Linked DNA regions of Oryzias latipes. The protein of the gene in region 5 purifies or fractionates together with the protein of the main gene of each other region. This does not show direct contact. Links are inferred from orthologs where the notes say so. Each region holds a gene or a part of one and is shown on either strand. Other genes may lie near its edges.

Evidence for each region.
Region 1: the proteins of stk25 (region 5) and sike1 purify together in Homo sapiens (affinity purification with mass spectrometry; 4 studies listed by BioGRID and IntAct, with this or other methods). This does not show direct contact. The link is inferred for Oryzias latipes from reciprocal best matches to the Homo sapiens genes STK25 and SIKE1.
Region 2: the proteins of stk25 (region 5) and slmap purify together in Homo sapiens (affinity purification with mass spectrometry; 5 studies listed by BioGRID and IntAct, with this or other methods). This does not show direct contact. The link is inferred for Oryzias latipes from reciprocal best matches to the Homo sapiens genes STK25 and SLMAP.
Region 3: the proteins of stk25 (region 5) and fgfr1op2 purify together in Homo sapiens (affinity purification with mass spectrometry; 5 studies listed by BioGRID and IntAct, with this or other methods). This does not show direct contact. The link is inferred for Oryzias latipes from reciprocal best matches to the Homo sapiens genes STK25 and FGFR1OP2.
Region 4: the proteins of stk25 (region 5) and cttnbp2 purify together in Homo sapiens (affinity purification with mass spectrometry; 3 studies listed by BioGRID and IntAct, with this or other methods). This does not show direct contact. The link is inferred for Oryzias latipes from reciprocal best matches to the Homo sapiens genes STK25 and CTTNBP2.

The regions. Positions count from the first base shown.
Region 1 is NC_019865.2:1,582,118-1,586,491, forward strand, and holds the start of sike1 (suppressor of IKBKE 1), read left to right. Parts: upstream 1-1,462; 5' UTR 1,463-1,733; coding exon 1,734-1,892; intron 1,893-2,015; coding exon 2,016-2,121; intron 2,122-2,194; coding exon 2,195-2,337; intron 2,338-2,435; coding exon 2,436-2,549; intron 2,550-3,287; coding exon 3,288-3,395; 3' UTR 3,396-4,303; intron 4,304-4,374.
Region 2 is NC_019863.2:32,508,583-32,512,504, reverse strand, and holds part of slmap (sarcolemmal membrane-associated protein), read left to right. Parts: intron 1-105; coding exon 106-177; intron 178-255; coding exon 256-396; intron 397-478; coding exon 479-616; intron 617-703; coding exon 704-872; intron 873-1,071; coding exon 1,072-1,122; intron 1,123-2,353; coding exon 2,354-2,476; intron 2,477-3,891; coding exon 3,892-3,922. UniProt on the Homo sapiens protein: Associates with the striatin-interacting phosphatase and kinase (STRIPAK) core complex, forming the extended (SIKE1:SLMAP)STRIPAK complex.
Region 3 is NC_019881.2:3,917,562-3,921,063, reverse strand, and holds the end of fgfr1op2 (FGFR1 oncogene partner 2), read right to left. Parts: intron 938-3,502; coding exon 800-937; 3' UTR 631-799; downstream 1-630. UniProt on the Homo sapiens protein: May be involved in wound healing pathway.
Region 4 is NC_019864.2:3,391,481-3,395,402, forward strand, and holds part of cttnbp2 (cortactin-binding protein 2), read right to left. Parts: intron 3,524-3,922; coding exon 3,373-3,523; intron 2,729-3,372; coding exon 2,537-2,728; intron 329-2,536; coding exon 211-328; intron 1-210. UniProt on the Homo sapiens protein: Regulates the dendritic spine distribution of CTTN/cortactin in hippocampal neurons, and thus controls dendritic spinogenesis and dendritic spine maintenance.
Region 5 is NC_019875.2:5,718,095-5,721,022, forward strand, and holds part of stk25 (serine/threonine-protein kinase 25), read left to right. Parts: coding exon 1-21; intron 22-144; coding exon 145-253; intron 254-1,358; coding exon 1,359-1,516; intron 1,517-1,663; coding exon 1,664-1,849; intron 1,850-2,595; coding exon 2,596-2,741; intron 2,742-2,925; coding exon 2,926-2,928. UniProt on the Homo sapiens protein: Oxidant stress-activated serine/threonine kinase that may play a role in the response to environmental stress.

The DNA.
Region 1 (4,374 bases), on a different chromosome or scaffold from region 5:
TTTTTTTATTTAAACATTATTTATTACTAGTAGTCCAGAGAGAGTTTAAATTCTCTTCCCAAAGCTGTAATACCTCGAAATGGACATTTTTAAATATGAAGGGCCAGAACCTGAGCAACTAGTGAAAAGAGGAAAGGGCTAAGAGGACATCCCTGCCATATTCCTCTGTTTGTGTCAAATCTAGGAGTTGTGCCATGTGCAACTTTAATGGAGCTGTTGCATCCATTGTACAGACCCTCCATCACTTTTAAAAATCTTTTACCAAATCCAAATTCTTTTATAACTGGAGTCATAAAACTGTGACTAATTATGTCAAATGCCTCGTAAAAGTCAACAAATAAGATAAAACCATCATCTCTAATATGTTCATTATAATCAATCATTTCTACTATTAATCTGGGAGCCGGTTTAGCTCGTGTTTGCGGCGCCTTCTGTCCGTGAAACCAGGGTTCGACTCCAGGCTGCTCCCTGCTCCCTTCTCTACCTCTGTGCCGGTCCTAAGCCCAGTTTGAGAAGGTTGCGTCAGGAAGGGCATCCGGCATAAAAACGTTGCCAAATTTACCACGCCCTGTTTACCACGCGTTCGCTGTGGCGACCCCTGATGGGAGAAGCCGAAAGAGGAAGAAGATATCTAGTATTAATCTGATATTGTTGGCAATATTTCTACCAGGCATGAAAGCAGATCATTCTTCTTCAATAATGTTATCCAGTCCTGGTTTTAATCTTTTGGTAAAAATGAGAGCAAATATTTTAGCATCATTGTTTAACAGACTAATTGGTCTCCAGTTTTCTATGCATAATTTATCTTTTTGTGGTTTGGGGATGAGTTTGATGATGCCTTGTCTGAGAGTTGGGGGCAATATACCAATTTCTAACACTTCTTCAAATAAATTAGCTAGAAAAGAGGTTAATTTGGCAATAAAACATTTATAAAACTCACTTGTTAGTCCTTCATTTGCTGGACTTTTATTATCTTTAAGAGATTTACTACAATTTTCAACTTCCTCTGTTTTAATTTTCTGGTCACAAGACTTTTCAAAGGTTTCAATTACTTTTCCAATCTTTTCTTTAATATTGTTGATAAATAGTTCAATATCTTCTTCTCTAAAGCAAATTTTAGTGTAAGTTTCCTGATAGAATTTTGCAACATATTGAGAAACCTTTTTTGTATCTTCACTTATTGAATTACCAATTTTAATTTGACGCAGACAGGAAATTTCAAAATCTCTTTGTTCTCAGTTGAAAAAGTATTTAGTACATTTTTCACCTTGTTCTAACCATTTTCTTCTGGATCTAACAAAGGCTTCTCCTGCTTTTTCTTCATATACTTTATTCGATTCTGATTGCAAAGAAATTAGTACGTTTTGTTGTAGATTAATTCGTTTTCATTGATAATCATTATTTTTCCTTATCATTATTGTCTTTGAATGCATCATAAGAGGGGGCGGGGAAAACGCGGAAGTGACGTCATCATTGATCGCAGTGTATCGTCTGCTTGACGGATAGGTGGGGGTACTTTTAAAGCGTTTGTTTGCTGTTTTGACCGTTTTCTCCATACCGTGTGAAAACAGTGCAGGCGTTAGGCGGGAAAGTTCCCGCAAGGCTTGTGCTCGGAAGCGCCGCGGTTACGCGCCGAGCTCGAGCCAACTTAGTTGGAGGGAGTTTCGCTGGAACCGCGCTCGTGAAGCAGGGGCTCGATCGCGTCGCCCCGCGGACCTGACGCTTTCCAGTAAATGGCCTGCACTTTGGAGAAAGTGTTGGGCGACGCTCGGACCCTCCTCGAGAGGCTGAAGGAGCACGACACGGCCGCCGAGGGTCTGATCGAGCAGTCCGGGGCCCTCAGCCGCAGAGTGCAGGACATGAAGGAGGTGGGAAATGCCCTTCCGGAGAAGGTAAAGACTCGGCGGATGAGACGTTCAGGTGCTGGGCGGCCATAGCTGCTGAAAATACCAGTGGGATTTTTTAATGGATAACTTTTGCTAGTAAATAACATGTTAGTACATTTTGTTTGACAGCACTTGGAAGACAATGCAGAACTACGGGAGCTCACAAAGTACAAACCTCATGTTCTTCTGACCCAAGAAAACACTCAAATCAAGGATCTGCAGCAGGAGAACAAAGGTAGGATTCTGTTCGGGCGGTTTCCACGGTGGGTCGTGTTTGTTCTAACCCTCTGGGTGGACTTTCTCCTCAGAATTATGGCTGTCTCTTGAAGAACACCAGTACGCTCTGGAACTCATCATGGGTCGGTACCGCAAGCAGATGCTGCAGCTGATGATGGCAAAGAAGGAGCTGGACACCAAACCGGTTCTGAGCCTCCACCAGGATTACGCCAAAGTACAGCGTCTTTCACACCATCTTTGTGCAGCGTGACATCGTCTCTTTGAGGGCCGGCTTTGGGAGAAAACTCGTGGCGTTTTTACTTGTCTCTACAGGAAGTGCAGAACAAGGTGGAGCAGATATGCGAGATGGGTCAGGTGATGAGAAGAGCCGTTCAGGTGGACGATCAGCACTACTGCTCCGTTCGAGAGAGGCTGGCTCAGCTGGAGGTGAGTACCGACGATCGAGCCTCTTTCCCCAAGAGGTCAGAGGTCATTTCTTCCCCCTAAAGCAGTATTAAAAGCAGCAGAGGGGACGGAGGAGGGCCCACGAAAACCTTCACAACAGCAGACGTTTGTCACAAGAACCAAAGATCTGAGAAGGAACTCCTTTTGTTTTGGTCCATCCATCCATTTCACCTCCAGATCTGACTTCACTGCGTCACTTAAAACTTACAGAAACCTTTTTTTTTCTCTTAAAAACTTCCAGAGATAAAGTTGTAGCCTGAAGGTTTTGAACGAAATGTCTTTTTCTAAAAAACAGGAAGCTGTCCAGTAAAACATTCTAAAGATCACATATTTGTTTGATTCTTGCAGCTTTATTGCATAAATGTTCTTTTTTCCTATAAAATCATTTTATATACATTAAAAAAACTAAGAATGATGAAAACTGCTGTGTTTAGGCAACTCAGTCCCAGGTTGGCGTTTTTAACAAGACTTTGGTTTTTTTCAAATGTTCTATGTAAAATACTTTAATACAGAGAATGTAGGCATTTGTCTTTATTTCATACTCTTCTTTTATCTAGAACAACAAACAATATAGGCAGTACAACATTTTAATTGTGAAAGACGTGTAAATCTTATCACATGTACACATTTAAATCTTTTGTTTTAGTGAAGAAGAAAAGTAGTAGATGGAGTCCGTTGGGAGGAAAGTATTCAGTCTCTTGGTTTTTTTCTCTCTTTCAGATTGAGAACAAGGAGCTTCAGGACCTTTTGGTCATCAGCAAAGAAAGCATCAAAATGTCAAAAAAAGAAGAACCCCACCAGCCTGAAGCAGCAGAACCGACTTCATGAGCTCCATCGAGCTCTGCGTGTGAATTTATTCCCTCAAATGGATTTATTTATAGAAAGTCATACGGCATCTTTAATACAAAAAAAAGATCTATCATCTTGTCTGCAGCTAAGATAATAATTAAAGTGTTACTGTGGACGGCATTCAATTAGCTGTTCTTTGAGGTGTATTTATTAGATTCTAACACGTGCTGTCAAAGTAGATTTAAAGTATTTTTTTGCCAAAGATATATATTTAATCGTCATAGTTTTTTTGGACCCCTGATGTTCACACAATCTCTACTGCCTCCTATTAAAGCCAAGCACCGCTCTGTTTCACAACAGAGAGGACCTTTGGGGAAAACAAGCAGTTTATTCTGATTATATTTACCTGTTTGTTTGAATGAACAGAAGTTTGGTTTGTGCTGTTGCATTTTGTGCAGTAGGTGTTTTTTAATTTTTTTGTATGAATGAAAAACGTTCTGTTTTCATCTCAGGAATTCAGTTTAACTTCATGGTTTGGTGTAAAACAAAATCAAACGATAATAATAAAAGAAGTGTTTTTCCAAGGCATTTGAGGTGTTGTCCCTTCTTCGAACGCAGGGCGGCAGCATCGAGTCAACTTACTAAAAACCTATCGCGAGATCGGAAAAAGTACAGCGCAAACGCTTTTAGGCTATTAAAAACCTATCAAATCACCTTTTCACGCAACTTTCATAATTTCCATTAGTTTGGTTGTAACAATATTTGTCACATTTAAGTGACATTTTAAAAAGACAATCGTCAGAAAGCTCGGATTTCCCACAGAACCTAAACGCCGCATGAGCCCTATATTTGACAGTTGTCGTTTTAAGCTAACGGATCCAGAATGTCTGAAAGGGAACTGGGGAGGAAGCTGGACCGATGCCTGGCAGATGGTGTCATTAAACTGGGTAAATAGAGTCGTGTTTGTCCGGTTTTGTCAACCTGAAAACGAAAAACAAATATTTTGGACTTTGTCATT
Region 2 (3,922 bases), on a different chromosome or scaffold from region 5:
CAGGAGATAACGGTGGCCATGGGGCTTATACTCATGGAGAAACTGAAGCTTTGGATAGAATTTGAAGATCTGAATTATGACTAACGTGACTCTGGTCTCCTTCAGGCTCTGATAGATGAGGACCGTCTGCTTTCCAGACTGGAGGTGATGGGGAGTCAGCTACAGGCCTACTCCAAGGTAAAGTCACCTTCTCAGGTTCTCCTCTGTAAAAAGGTGAGGCACAGAAGTTCTCATTCATGTCTGGAACTCCTGCAGTCCCAGACGGAGGAGGGGATGCGGAAAGAGCTTTTGGCTCTTCAGGAGGACAAACACAACTATGAGACGACGGCCAAGGAGTCTCTGAGGAGAGTCCTGCAGGAGAAGATCGAGGTGGTCAGGAAGCTCTCCGAAGTGGAGGTGGGACCCTTTGAGGAGTTGTTTGTCCCTTCAGGCTGATGGATTCAGTACCGGTGAACCCAACGCGTGATCTCCTCTGCAGCGCTCGCTCAGCAACACGGAAGATGAGTGCACCCACCTGAAGGAGATGTCTGAGAGGGGTCAGGAGGAGCTGAGGGAGCTCGCCAATAAGTACAACGCCGCTGTCAACGAAATAAAAGAGCTCACCGACAAAATCAAGGTGAGGCCTTGTGCGTTTACTCTGAAAGGTTCGATTCCCGCCCCTCTACATTTGTGCAGTAACACCCGATCGTCTTCTTTCCTTTAGGTGGCGGAGGGCCGGCAGGAGGAGCTGACCCAACGAGGAGAGACGGAGAAGAGGGAGCTGGAAATGAAGATAGAGGAGATGGAGGAGAAGGAGCAGGTTCTCCAGGCTCGCATCGAAGCTCTGCAGGCAGACAACGACTTCACCAACGAGAGACTTGCTGCTCTTCAGGGTACGTCTGGGTCACGTCTAAACGCCGTTTGCTCCCTGAAGCCTTCCACTGCTGCTTCATTGCATATAAACGGAGGACCGAGCCGACGCCTTTGTTCGGTTCCACCTCAGCTGTCGGTTCCTCGCAGAAGGCCGACTGGAGCTGCTGCAGGTCCAGCTGAACGTTCTCTTTCTGCTGTTGTTGTTGTTGTTGTTTACAGCGCGGTTAGAGCAGCTGCAGGAGAAAAGCGGTAAAGAAAACAACAGTCTGGGTGAGTCCACGTCCCGCTGGTCCGCTCTGGGACTGCTGTGTCTGTGGGGTTAATCAGCCTGAGCTGCACTAACGATGCATGAAACGTCCTGCATGGTCTGTCTGTGCACTTCCTGCTGTCGCTCTTTTCTCCTCGTTGAGTTTTTTTTATGATCTTTCAGTGGTTGACTCATTCACACAACATTGTATTGTTGTCCATAAACGCAAAAAGATTTTTTTCCATTTTAATTACCTAATTAACTTGTAGTTTAAGGCGGAAATGTCACACAATGTGAATCCAGCTGAGGGAAAGTTTATCTATTTCCTCCTGAATGACCTGCATCAGAAATACCTGCACTAGAGCTGCTGCTGACGGTGAAGCGACCCAACAGTTTCCACTCTATATTATCTAATTTAGATGTTTTATGTACTTAGTTTAATTCATTTAATCGTTGGTCTATTAGCGTTACACTTAAACCTCCTGTTGTGACAAACTGATGTTTGTTTCTGTCTCAATTACAAAGGCAGTAACTGAACCATTGTATTTTATAAAATGCTGACGTCACCTTAAATATGACAAACTGGAATAGATTCAAAGTGTAACAATTGTTTGTTTTTCCTTTCAAAATGGGTCAATTTACCCAAAGCATAAGAGATTTTATAGTTTTCTCTTTAACTTTGTTCTTCTGGCTCTGGGTGTTGTGACAGAAGTCTTAAAGCAATAAAGTCCATAAAAACATCAAAAATCCTTTAATTTTACATTTAAAAGAGTAAAAATGTCCTCTGTGCTCCAGAAAAACGGACGTAAACACAGAAAATGATCACTCCTGAGGTGGATTTCATTCCTTCATGAGTTCCTGCTTCGTGTTCCTGTCTGTTAGAATGACTGTGGGTTCTCTGTGGAACGCCCAGTCGCATCGCTATGCGCTATGCTAGGATGCTAGGATGCTAGCTGCAGGTCCTGGTTCTGACCTGGACCCGTCTGGTTTCATAAGGAGCTGGTGTGTTTTTCTGGGCTTTGTTCTGGCGGTTCTGTCAGGTGAATTTTGGGCTTCTTGGTTAATTCAGAGCTTTTCCAAACCGATCACTGCTTTGGTTCCTTTTTCCGGGGGGAGGAGCTTGAGGACACTGATTTCTGCACTAAAGGAGTCCTGAAGGTCTCGCTCTTCTTCATCAACGGGCTTCACAGTCTGTCTTCTGCATGTCTGGCTGATGAAGGTTCCATGTGTATATCTGATCTGGTCACATGACAGAGGTGGCCCTCGTCCCTCCCGGAGCTGCAGGGGAGCCCGTGGAAGACCTAGCGGACGAAGACCACGATGAGCCGGATACAGACACCGAGGAGGGGGCAGTTCACGAAGATGAAGATGTTATTGGTAGTCTATCTCAACTGTTTCCTTAATTTCTTCTTCCCAAAGACAGACGATCAAATGTTTGTTCGATGCAGAGCTGAAACCTCAGAACGCGTCTGGCCTGAGACCAGGTCTTCCTCGATCAGGACATGTGCAAGAACTGAAATGCTGGATCCAGATCCATCTGGGAGCCACTTTTCTGGTCCGTCTGAGGAGCACGTCTCCAGATAACTGGTCTGCAGCGCTGTGGCCTGCTTCACGCATCAGTGTCCCACGTTCTGAGCTGTCTCTGGTGAAATGAGACGTAAACGCAGCGTCTCGACTGGAAACTCTGTGTGTGTGTGGCTGAACCTGCTTTCAGCCGCCTCACACACTCGCGATGCGGTCTGCGCCGCTGCAGCCGCTGCAGTCTCCTCACATGCGTCCTGGAGGAGAGTTCACTGATGTTTCTTCAGGTTCAAACCAATGTTGGAAAGGGAGAGCGGGTTTGTAGATGTTTCTCTACACCATGAACCGACCTCTGACCCGAGAAGGTTTGGTGTCTTCTCTCCGCCGCTGTCGAGTCTCATCCGTCTGTTGTTGATCTTTAGATCAGCTTGAATGAAACCTCGTAATTGTCCTTCGTCCGATGCTGGTTTAAAACTTTGTGCTGCGGCATCTTTGAAGGTTTGGTCCAAAATCTTTACAAATGTGGATCGCTCGTTTTCTGAGCATCATCTGCTGCAGTTTGTTGTTCGGTCAGTTTCCATCTCAAGGTTTAGGAGAACACCAACGGCTCCTTCAGCTCCTGGGTTTTTCCATTTCAGCTTTCACATCAATCTAGTCCTGCTTTGGAATGAAGTCCATGTTGGGTCTCAGTTTCTTCTCGGGTTAGGAGCTTTACTCTCTCACAGTTGTCATTTCTAACCCGTTTTATTGTGCCGTCTGCAACATCATCTTCCCGTCAGCATCTTCCGTTCACTCATTGGGTGCAGCAGCTCTGAGATCTGGTGCAGTTTGAGTTTCCTTCGGCTCTGATGTTGTTCCGTCTCCATCTTGCTGCTGTTTCTCACCTGCTGATGCTTGGTGGGGTGTTGCATAGCAGCGTGTTTGACTCCATCCTTCACCTGTCCTGTTGTTCTGGTCTGTGACACGTCTGCCTGCTTCCTCTGTGTCCGTCTCAGGCCTTCCCTGCCGTCTTCTTACCGGACGTTAAGTTAGGAGCAAACGCAGCTTTTTGATTCTGCTGATCCAAATCAAGGAAACCTGGTTTGTCTGCTTGATTTATGGACGTCCAGCTTTAAGCTTCACCACATTGGAAGGAACCAGAGGAGGAAATAAGACTAAACGATAATAAACTGTTTGAGCTGAACTTTGTTCAAACTCAGGCTGGTGTCGATGAGCAGAATCAAAAACGTCAAAGGCAGAGTCGTAACGCCAGTTCTCTGTGTTTCTGTCAGACAACTGTCATGTCAACAACAGCGGAGGAGA
Region 3 (3,502 bases), on a different chromosome or scaffold from region 5:
TTTAGTTCACTTTGAATGAAAGACAACAAAGCTGCAATAAAATGAAAGTGCTTGGAGTCCACGTTCAAAGGGATGTTCCTCTTTTCACGAGTCCTAAACTGTCAGGTATCATTTACTTCATTAAAAGTAAAGATGACACGAGGAAGCGAGAGGCAACAGTTTGACTCTTTTCTCACAGCTTCTCTGTTCGGTGTGTGCCTCAGAGCAGGTTGATCTTCAGATGCTGTCTACAGTTTTCAGGTATGAAGCAGAGAGTCCACAATAATTCTATCTGCAGTGACTTCAGATCAAGCAACTCCCCCGCCGTGGTTTGCCACCAAACTTCCACATCACTCTCTTTTCTTCTTTTTGAACCATTCCAGGGGTCTGCTCAGACACAGCAATCCGGGCCCGTTTTGGTGACGCCTACGTGTTTGCTACCTGAATATTTCTGCATTTCAGCGTCTGTGAGCTGAATGCTGCCAGCAGCAGTGAAACAGCATGTTGGGTCACGCCTGCTGTGGTGGATTTCTCTTCCTGTTTTTGGAGCAGATGTGGGCGATAAACATCAATAACACAAGCACTGGAAAGAGAGAGGCAGTTCACCAGAATCAGAACACTGTGAGTCTGTGAGGACGTTCAAAACTCAATCCAAACCACCTGATAATCATTTATTTCATTTCAAGCAACACCTCTCTTCTTCCCGGGTTAGGAGGTACACAGGCACCACAGGCTCATACATGCTGTAACAAAGACATGACGCAATGCATTCTGGGCCGCTGGCTGCTTTGGCAGTAGTGTGGCGGGGTGGGAGCGGACACTAAGTCTTTCGTAGGCTGACGTCGGTGCTGCTCAGCAGCGGCGACAGCGACGTGTTCTCCGACGGCTCCTCCCTCTTCAGGATGAGGAAGGCCTCACGGCTGATCCCCAGCAGCTCTCGGAGGCCACAGTTCTCCATCTGGAACGCACAAACACAACCCACCTCTAAAGTCTCTGAACGGCTACGGCAGACAGAGAGGAGCAAGATTCACACATATGCTTTAAAAAACGTGTTCAATATCAACAGTTTGTCCGATCATGTATAAGCAATCAAATTAAGCCTCCCACAGTGAATTAGGCTCGACATCAACAATTCATTGTCTTTTCCCAAAGCTGACAGTGTTGGGTTCACTTTTAGAACCACTTTTTTATGTTCTATGTCAACGACACGGTCAAAATGTCTCAACAGCTAACTTGCACTTTTATGCTGATGACACGATTATTTCTTGTTGCGGATCATCTCTCTTTTGAGGTCATAAAAATTAGGGATGGGCGATATAATTTTTTTTACGTCCGATACCGATAACCCGTATTTCCCCTACAACTGTGTGGCTGATAGCCGATATTTGCCGATACCGATACTTAAGTGTCCACAGGTGTGGCTCTCAAACTGTGGAGCGCACCTCCATGGGGGGGGTGCGAGTCACTGGGTGGGACAAGGCTGGGAAGTGGGGAGGACGACTAATGTTTGGACATCGGAATTTTTTTCGCAGCGGAACACAAACAAACCGCGGTTCGGGACTGCATATCCGCGGGTGTCACGTCACTTACATCGAGCTGATCCTAACCGTGACATTTGAAGACGTAATTATGGTTGTCAACTGCGGTTTAACATCTTAAAATAACGCTAATGCCGCCTGGACGTTGACGCATTTAGCACATGCGACCGGTACAGATTGGAAACTGTGATTTGTTGAAGAATGGAGAAAAGCATGTATAATGGCTAATGCCTCCGCGCCCCCCAAGGGAGGCGTGTCCTACAGTTTGAGAACATACAAAATCAATGATCCTTTATTTAATTTATTAAGGATCATTCACTTGTACACGTCTTCCCTGCGAGGATTCTTTCTCAAATGTTTCTTAGACAACAGTTCTCAATACGACTGGCTGATAGATCCAGCTGCTGATGCGAGCTCTGCTGAGGAGGATCAGTCCATTGAAATCCCGTCAGACTCCACCCTGAAGATGAGGTTTACAGCACAGACACCCCCTGAATCCTGCTGGGTGTAGAGAGAGGGAGCATTCACTCAAAGGGCAAAAGGCTGGGGGCATTCTGCTTCCATTTTACGTTCCATTTTCTGCTGTTACCACTTTGAAAACAAAGCACAGAGCTAGGCTCAATAATGAGCAGGACTTGAGAGTTGCTGCAGTAACAAACCTGCAACCTTGTTTTGAAAAGATGTGTAGCACGAAGCAGGCACATTGCAGCCATTTACACAACTTTGTGTTTCTTTTTGCACATAGGTTCAAATGTTATTAAAAAACAGTCAGGAGATCATGGTAGATTTTGAATATCTGAAATGCAAATTATGCAAATATTGTGCAATACAGATACAGGAACCAATTTATCGCCCATCCCTAACAGGAACCCTGATGGAAACTTTTGAACGTGCAACTCCTGCGGCCTGGAAAATCTGACAAAAAAGTTGGAGACTAATTGAACTACCATTAAATGTCTTTAAGGCCAAACCAACAGAGAATTGCACAGATTACTGTGACCGTCTTGATCACAGTTTTCACTCATTTATAATTCAGTTTTATCTGTCATTTTTTACATTTTTTAAGCATTTTTTCTAGTGGTGTCAAATTATTATGTTAATTGCGATTAATAAATTACAAACTTTCTTGCCTTTTTTATTTGTCTCTATTTTTATCGGGTTAATCTTTTTTTTTTTTTTTTTTTTTTTTTTGCGTTGGATGGTTACTTCCTTAAAGTCTGGCCATGCCTGAAAATGTACACCTTGAAGAGCATTGTCCCGCTTATACCATGCTCACTCACAAAAACATAAAGATTAAGTATCAGAACTTCAATCATGTCATATTTTAAAGTTTAAATTGTTTTTAACGAAAAGAGGAACAAAGCATCATTTCAGAGGGAAAGCTCACCTCTAAATGTTGGATTTTGTTCAGATGAAGCTAAACTTTAAAGGTTGTCTTCTCTCTTTGTCTTCAAAATGATCAAATTCCTCAAACAGGTCAAAGGAAACTATCAAATCCCACCAGGGCTCCAGACTGCGACCAAAATTTGAGAGTGTGCGACTGAATTTTACATCCAGTCGCACATGTGCTACCAGTAAATTTGCCTCCCCCACCCTCCGTATTTTTTTATACATTAAACGTGGAAGGGGCACGTCAATGATCAATGAAATAATCAATGATACGCGAGCGCACACGCACGCAGGCAGACACACACACTCGTGCACATATTCATGAAACGCAAGCACACACTCGCGTGATGCCTGTCTGTGAGGCGGCGAATGCGTGTTAGAAGAATAGGGAAAGCCACTGTGAGTGGCTAAAATGCGTGTAGGGGAGGGGCCTAGAGATAATCGCGCGCGCGTAAACATCTGTGGGAAGGAAACGGAGACAAATATCATCACAACCTGATATGTGCGTCTGAGCTATGAATAAGCGAACTATTGATTCGTTCTTCCGACCTGCGGCTAGTGCACCAGGGCCAGAGTCTACAGCAGGGGTCTCAAAC
Region 4 (3,922 bases), on a different chromosome or scaffold from region 5:
TGATTGCATGCAAGTTTCCTGCACAGGGAGAGATTTCAGACATCACTGCTTGCTTTAAAAAGGTTTTAGTCATCGTGAAACACTTAGTGATGTCGTATTCAGTTTTATGATGGTCTGTCAGCGTTTTCATCTTTGTGCGACAAAATTCACAATTCAGGAAAAAACGAAATAACACACAACGTGTCTGTCATCCGTGTGAATGTGACTTACGCAGATTTTCAAGCAGATCTTTGCAGTCGTCAGTTGCCACATCATGAATTGTGCGGTTGCACATATCCTTTCTCTCAATGTCTTGATCACTGTGGCTACACAGCACCTCCAGACAGTCCTGGACACATTACCACACAAGGTCAGAACAACTCAAGGAGAAAAATACAGCAGGTAAAAGACGAGAAACAGTGTGAAGAATAACCATCGACTGTAGATGGATATGGACTGAGTGACCCCTACCCCTGGGTTTCCAAACAGGAAGTACCTGCTGGCTTCAGGAAGCTAAAATCCCATAGACTTCTACAGAGAAATAAACAGCTGTTCCTAATTGTGTTGGTCAGACAAAACATTCTTGATCTGATACCTTTCTTAACATGTTCTTGGAAATCCTCTTTTTTTTCATGATTTTTATCTTTCATTGTAGGTTATTAAAGTTATAAAGTGACCAATCAGATGCCTAAGATGTCTCATTTAAAGTAATGTTTATGCCGTCACAATGAGAACAAAAGTCACACTTTTTAAATCAAATTTCCTAAATTTTAAACAAAATGTTCAGCTTTAAAATCAAAATTTTGTAAGAAAATTGAAATATTAAAAGTTGACTTTCAAAATAGTTCTATTTGTTTTGAAAATGCATTTGTGACACAGCTGTTGTCAGACGCCTTATGTCGAATCTCGCTCTCTCTCCATCTTTACTTTGCTTTCTCAACTCTGCATCATAAGTGTGATGTTTGTGCCACCAAACAGACAATCACAGACAAGAGGGTTCATGCTGATCGGTTTAGATTCAATCCATTCAAGTGTCTTTGCCTCGCATTAACGGTGCTTGGAGGCAGACACGGACTTTGCATCGGTTCTGTTAGCGCAGCATCTGCAGTCCTCAACCGTTCTGGCCTGTTTTTCTCTGAGTAGAACCCAGAAGGAGCAGCAAAGCCAAAGAAGTAAAAGCAAACATCCAAAACATTGCAAATCATAATAGTAAGATAACGTAATGTCCGGTCAGAAGCGACAAGAGTCAGCGACGGCCTTTCCTGGCTCGGAACTTCTGATGAAGATTTGAACGGTTGCTGTAGCCCTCAACCATGTCAGATACCACAGGGACAACTTCTCAACACACTGGTCGCTACACTAACATAAATACAGAGCAGTGCTGGATTTTTTTGGCTTTGCTGCTCCTTTTGGGTACGACTAAGACAGAAACGGGCCAGAACAGCTGAAGACCACAGAATCCTGGTGGAGAAGAACTGATACAAAGTTCTCTTTGTGCTGGAACAAATATTACTTCATGATCTCACGTCGGTGGTTCGAAAAGGAGAGATTTTGTGTAGCTTGCTTCCAGTGGTAGGACTGTGAACTTCCAACAAGCTTACTCCTGATTGGTGAGAGCGGTTGCCATAGAAGCATTGACTTCGTATCGGGTAAAAATGGCAACTGAATGGAGCATTTTCTATGGGGGACTCAGTCCAGCTCTCTTATGCAGTCAATGACAATAACAGTTACTTGTGCATCATTATAAACTTATTTTGATTGGATTTCAAATGGTTAATTTCAAGCAATCAAAGCAAGAATAATGCACAAAACAATACAATCAGCAGTTATACATTCATACAAAGACGTATCAAACGTAGGATAATTAGACATTACATCAAAGATTGCTTGAAAGGGAGTGGAAGAAAGCAAATTTATATAATCCCAACCCGTTCTACTGTAACCATTTTCATTACACGATTTATTATGATCTGGTTCATAACATTTTATCAGACATCTATGCCTTACCAATACAGTTTTAGGTCATCACGAATACTTCAGTTTCAATAAATCACATGACAAAGAGGAAGTACCATATAATTCTGTAAAATAGACAAAACTCCATTTTGGAAATCAACATAGAACATGCAGATCAGATATCTCAAATATATTCAGATTATTTTCATTAGAAAAGTCATAAATATGATTAAAAATGACATTATATCAGATAAAAATAACACTGTTTCAGAAATCTTTATAGCAAATGCAGATCAAGTATCAAAAGTTTAAAATATTTGCAGATTATCTTTTTATCAGAAAAATCATGAATCACTGTTTGGGGGAACATAGATGTACACATGTGTTTAGGTATGTTTATGCATGCAAGGCCTTCAGTTGCTTTCTTGTCATATTTTCTGAAATGTGACAAATCTTGCATTTTACCAGAAAAAAACATCTGTGAGAAGTCAGAATTCTTCAAGTGTAATATAAATAAGAGGAACCAGAATTATCTCCACAAAGGGCTTAGAAACTCTGCATCAGCGAGGGAACAGCATGCTAAATGTTTTTCTATTTTTACCTTCAGGCCCAGCACAGCAGCCATGTGTGCAGCGGTCCAGCCGTCCCTGTTGGCCTGGTTCAGCAGCGAAGCAGGAAGAGCCAGGAAATGGGGCGAGGCAGAAGGGTCGCTTGGATCTCTGTGGCAGAGGAGGAGACGCAGCACTTCTACGTGTCCGGAGCGCACGGCAGCGTGCAGGGGCGTGCAGCCATCCTTCAAACGCAAGCGACGTCAGGATTACAAGTCACTTCTTTTGAATCCAATTTAAACTAATATGTCTTCATGTTTAAACTTCTGCCTATGAGAAGCAAGAAAAAACATGTTTTTAGTTTACAATAAAGAATTATAGTGTGAAGGCTCTAAAGCCCTCACACAACTGACATCCCGTTCTTACTCCCCTACACTTGTTTGGCAGATTAACTTCTTCATTCTTTGATCTATTTAAGCCAGATTTGTACTGAAACATTCAAGCACATTCTGGAGATTTTGGAGAGTTTACACTAAGTGGATGCTCAAACTAGTTTTACACATAAAACATAGAATGCACTACCAACAAATTGTATCGAAAAGAATAAACTTTTGGAAATATTTGCCTCTGATTACTACATGTTGGCGAAATAAAAGTGTTACGATTTTTAATAAAATGTAAAAATATGCCAAAAAAAAATCTCAAACCGTTTAAAGACTTTTTCATTGATTGATTGATTGAATGAATGAGAAGTTTTAGATACTGTTAAAAAAAAACAAAGAGGAGAAAAGCTGATGACCACAGGAAGTGACATGTTTTTGATTGTCTGGATAAATAACATTTAGCAGTTGTGCTCTTAACACTGCAGTAACGTCAGAGTCAGCCTTACCGTGGTAGTCAATGAGCGGTCAGCTCCGGCGTCCAGCAAGGCTCGGGCGCAATCAAGCCATCCTGCCTCACAGGCCACAAAGAGGGAGGTCTGTCCGTCAGCAGCAACGGAGTCCACGGCAGCTCCTGCAGCCAGCAGCTCCTCCACACAGCTGGAGGGAGGGAGGGAGGAACGCCACAGGGAGGACAGCTCACTAAACCTCTCCTTTCTGGGTTTTGTGTATCTGACTGGGCTACTGTACTGCCCACATGTAACACAGAGAGAAGCAGCATGTATGCTTTGCATTTTGTGGTTGACTGCATCACGCCAGAGTGGGAAAGGACTAGCATGAACGTAAATCAAAGGTTGTATTTACTTGTTTTTGGTAAAAGGAGTCAGTTTCTTGATTGCAGTATTGGGTAAATTACTTTAAAAAAAAGTAATTGATTACTTTACTTTGGTTACTGGATGAAATTAAAATGACTTTACTCATTACTTATTTGAAAAGTAATTCACTACTCTTATTTCCACTCATATTCAAATTCTCAAGGGAAAAACAGCACAAACAAGA
Region 5 (2,928 bases):
GGAGGATCTGCTCTGGATCTGGTAAGAAGATTTCCATTTTTATGGAGATTACAAATTACACAAGACGCCGCCTTGCTTACTTTTAGAGCCTGCCGGTTCTCTCGCCCTACTTCTGATGTCTTGGTTTACCCGCCGTCATCGTAGCTCCGCCCAGGACCTCTGGAGGAGACGTACATCGCTACCATACTGCGGGAAATCCTGAAGGGGCTGGAGTATCTGCACTCCGAGAGGAAGATTCACAGAGACATCAAAGGTAAAACGGAAGACCACTTAGAGAATCTTCACCCAGGAAACTTGTCAGGAGGGGAAATGGACTCACCCAATGTGTGTGCTGGTTCTGGATTTGTAACCCATCCATTTTGTCTTTAACTGAGGGTACTTGCTGTTGTAAACGAATATCAAAAACGTTCAAATCCAAAATACAGTTTACGCAGGCACAGCTTGAAATGACATCAACTTCAGACTAAGTACAAATTCAAAAAGTCTCCCAAACATAAAAAAACCCTTAAATGGTACGCTCCAATCGCTTGATACACACACTCAAAACCACACCTACACACAGATCAGAGTCACAAGAACACCAGGATGGATGGATGGATGGATGGATCTTTATTTGTCAAAGTCATACATACAATGAAATTAAAAGTGCCTTCTGGTCAGTGCAACATTCATCCATTAAAAAAAAATGTAAACAACTTACTACTAAAATAATACATAAAACTACATAAAAACCTCTGGCACCACCCCCTCTGACACCGCCCCCTCTGACAGCTCCGCCCTCTGGCACCGCCCCCTCTCGCTGTGCCAGAATGATTGAAAGTTTGAGGGGGAAAAATGGAAGATTTGAAACTCGAATAAAAAAACTTTTAATTATTACCAAATGAAAAATATTCTTTATAAAGTTTGTAGTTCCAGTTTAGAGCTGAAAGCACCAGAAGCGCTTTCAGCTGATGGGAATCATGTCACGACAGCCAATGAGCTTCCTTAACTCAGGTTCAGCAGAAAAGACTGAACGTCTGAATTCAAACTCTAAACGTAAAACGGAAATTAAAGAATAAAAAAAGAAAACAAAAACAACAGCAGCTGTTATGAATAAACAATATTTTTCATTTAGTAACAGTTTAAGCTTTAAAGTTTTGTTTTTTAAATTGAAGGTTCAAAATTAAAAAAAAACATTTCTTTTCAAATGTTCAATATTTTTAGACTTGAATCATGCTTAAGCCTGTTTTGAAGTGTTGACTTTTTGTCTTCCAATTGATGTGACCCTCTAGTTGTGCCTCTTTAGCCGTCCTGACCCGAGGCTGCAGGTCTTTCTAGCTAGTTAGTGGACACGGCAGTGACTGACGTCTGTCTCCTAGCTGCCAACGTGCTCCTGTCAGAGCAAGGCGACGTGAAGCTGGCAGACTTCGGCGTGGCGGGACAGCTGACGGACACGCAGATCAAGAGGAACACGTTTGTGGGCACGCCGTTCTGGATGGCTCCAGAGGTCATCAAGCAGTCGGCCTACGACTTTAAGGTGAGGGAAGTCTGTTCCAGAGCTGAAGAGCGTCTGTGGTGCTGACCTGTCTGGGAGGGGGCGCAGGAATGCTGAGCTTTTGAAACAGCCATTGAATTCATTTCTGTTTGGAAAAGCTTCATTTGGTTCACCTTTCCTTACACTCAGGCGGACATCTGGTCTCTGGGAATCACTGCCATCGAGTTGGCCAAGGGGGAACCCCCCAACTCTGACCTACATCCCATGAGGGTCCTGTTCCTCATCCCTAAAAACACTCCTCCCACGTTGGAAGGGCCGTACAGCAAACCGTTTAAAGAGTTTGTGGAGGCCTGTTTAAACAAGGATCCCCGTTTTGTGAGTGAAGCTGCATTTTCACCTCCAACCTTCTGTCATGTGATGGCGCTCTAGTGAAACCTTGTTTGTTGTTTTAAACCATCAGCAGAAAAAACGGATCATTTATGTATGAATCCAAGTCATGTAGGAGGAAAAGAGAGACATTTGGTAAATGAGGGAGAATGGCCTTCAAGTGTGCATAATCTGAATTTAACGCACGCCGAGGAAGTCTGGACAGTAAAGTGTGTCGCTTATACCTTGGTCACTTTCAAAAGAAATAAATATTCAACCAGTTTTTAGTCCTTTAATCTTGTTATTTTTTCAGTCTAGATCACTTTTTTTCACAAAAAGCGGACTATTTGTTAGGTGGTGCGGCGGGTCGTCATGGTAACATGACGGCACCAACCTCGACTGCAGCCGCAAAGGAAAGTGATAAATATGCTGATCGTCACGATGGGTTGAATAAAGCATCAGTTCAGAGAGAAAGTTCACCTCTTACCGCTTGTTTTTGTCCAAATGATGAAGATGAAGGTTGTTTTAAAGCCAGCGCAGTGATACAGAACATCTAAGCTTTGTGACCGGAACTTCTTTTTTAGGCGTACATTAACAGTTTTTAATGCACACCCAGCAGCCAATCAGAATCGAGGATTCACCCGGACCGTGGTATAACTCCTCATGAGGACCATGCGCGTCTGATCTTAAGGAAAACCCAGCTGCAGGGTTCTTGTGTGCTGACCCGGTTCTGTCGGTGTTCTGGCTCTTCACAGAGGCCCACCGCGAAGGAGCTGCTGAAGCACAAGTTCATCACTCGCTACACCAAGAAGACGGCTTATCTGACGGAGCTGATAGACCGGTACCGCCGCTGGAAGTCGGAGGGACACGGAGAGGAGTCCAGCTCAGACGACTCGGACATGTCCGTTTCAAATTTCTCTCTTCATCAGCAGCATGGCAGAGCGTGCAGATGCTCCGGCGCTGAACCAAAGAGGGTTCTGCTGCATGTGCACGATTGCTTCCCTGAGTGACAACAGAGCTGGGATTTCTGTGTCTGGAGTCTTCACGTCTCCTCCTTAAACACCCCTCTCCTGTCATTCCTGCAGGGA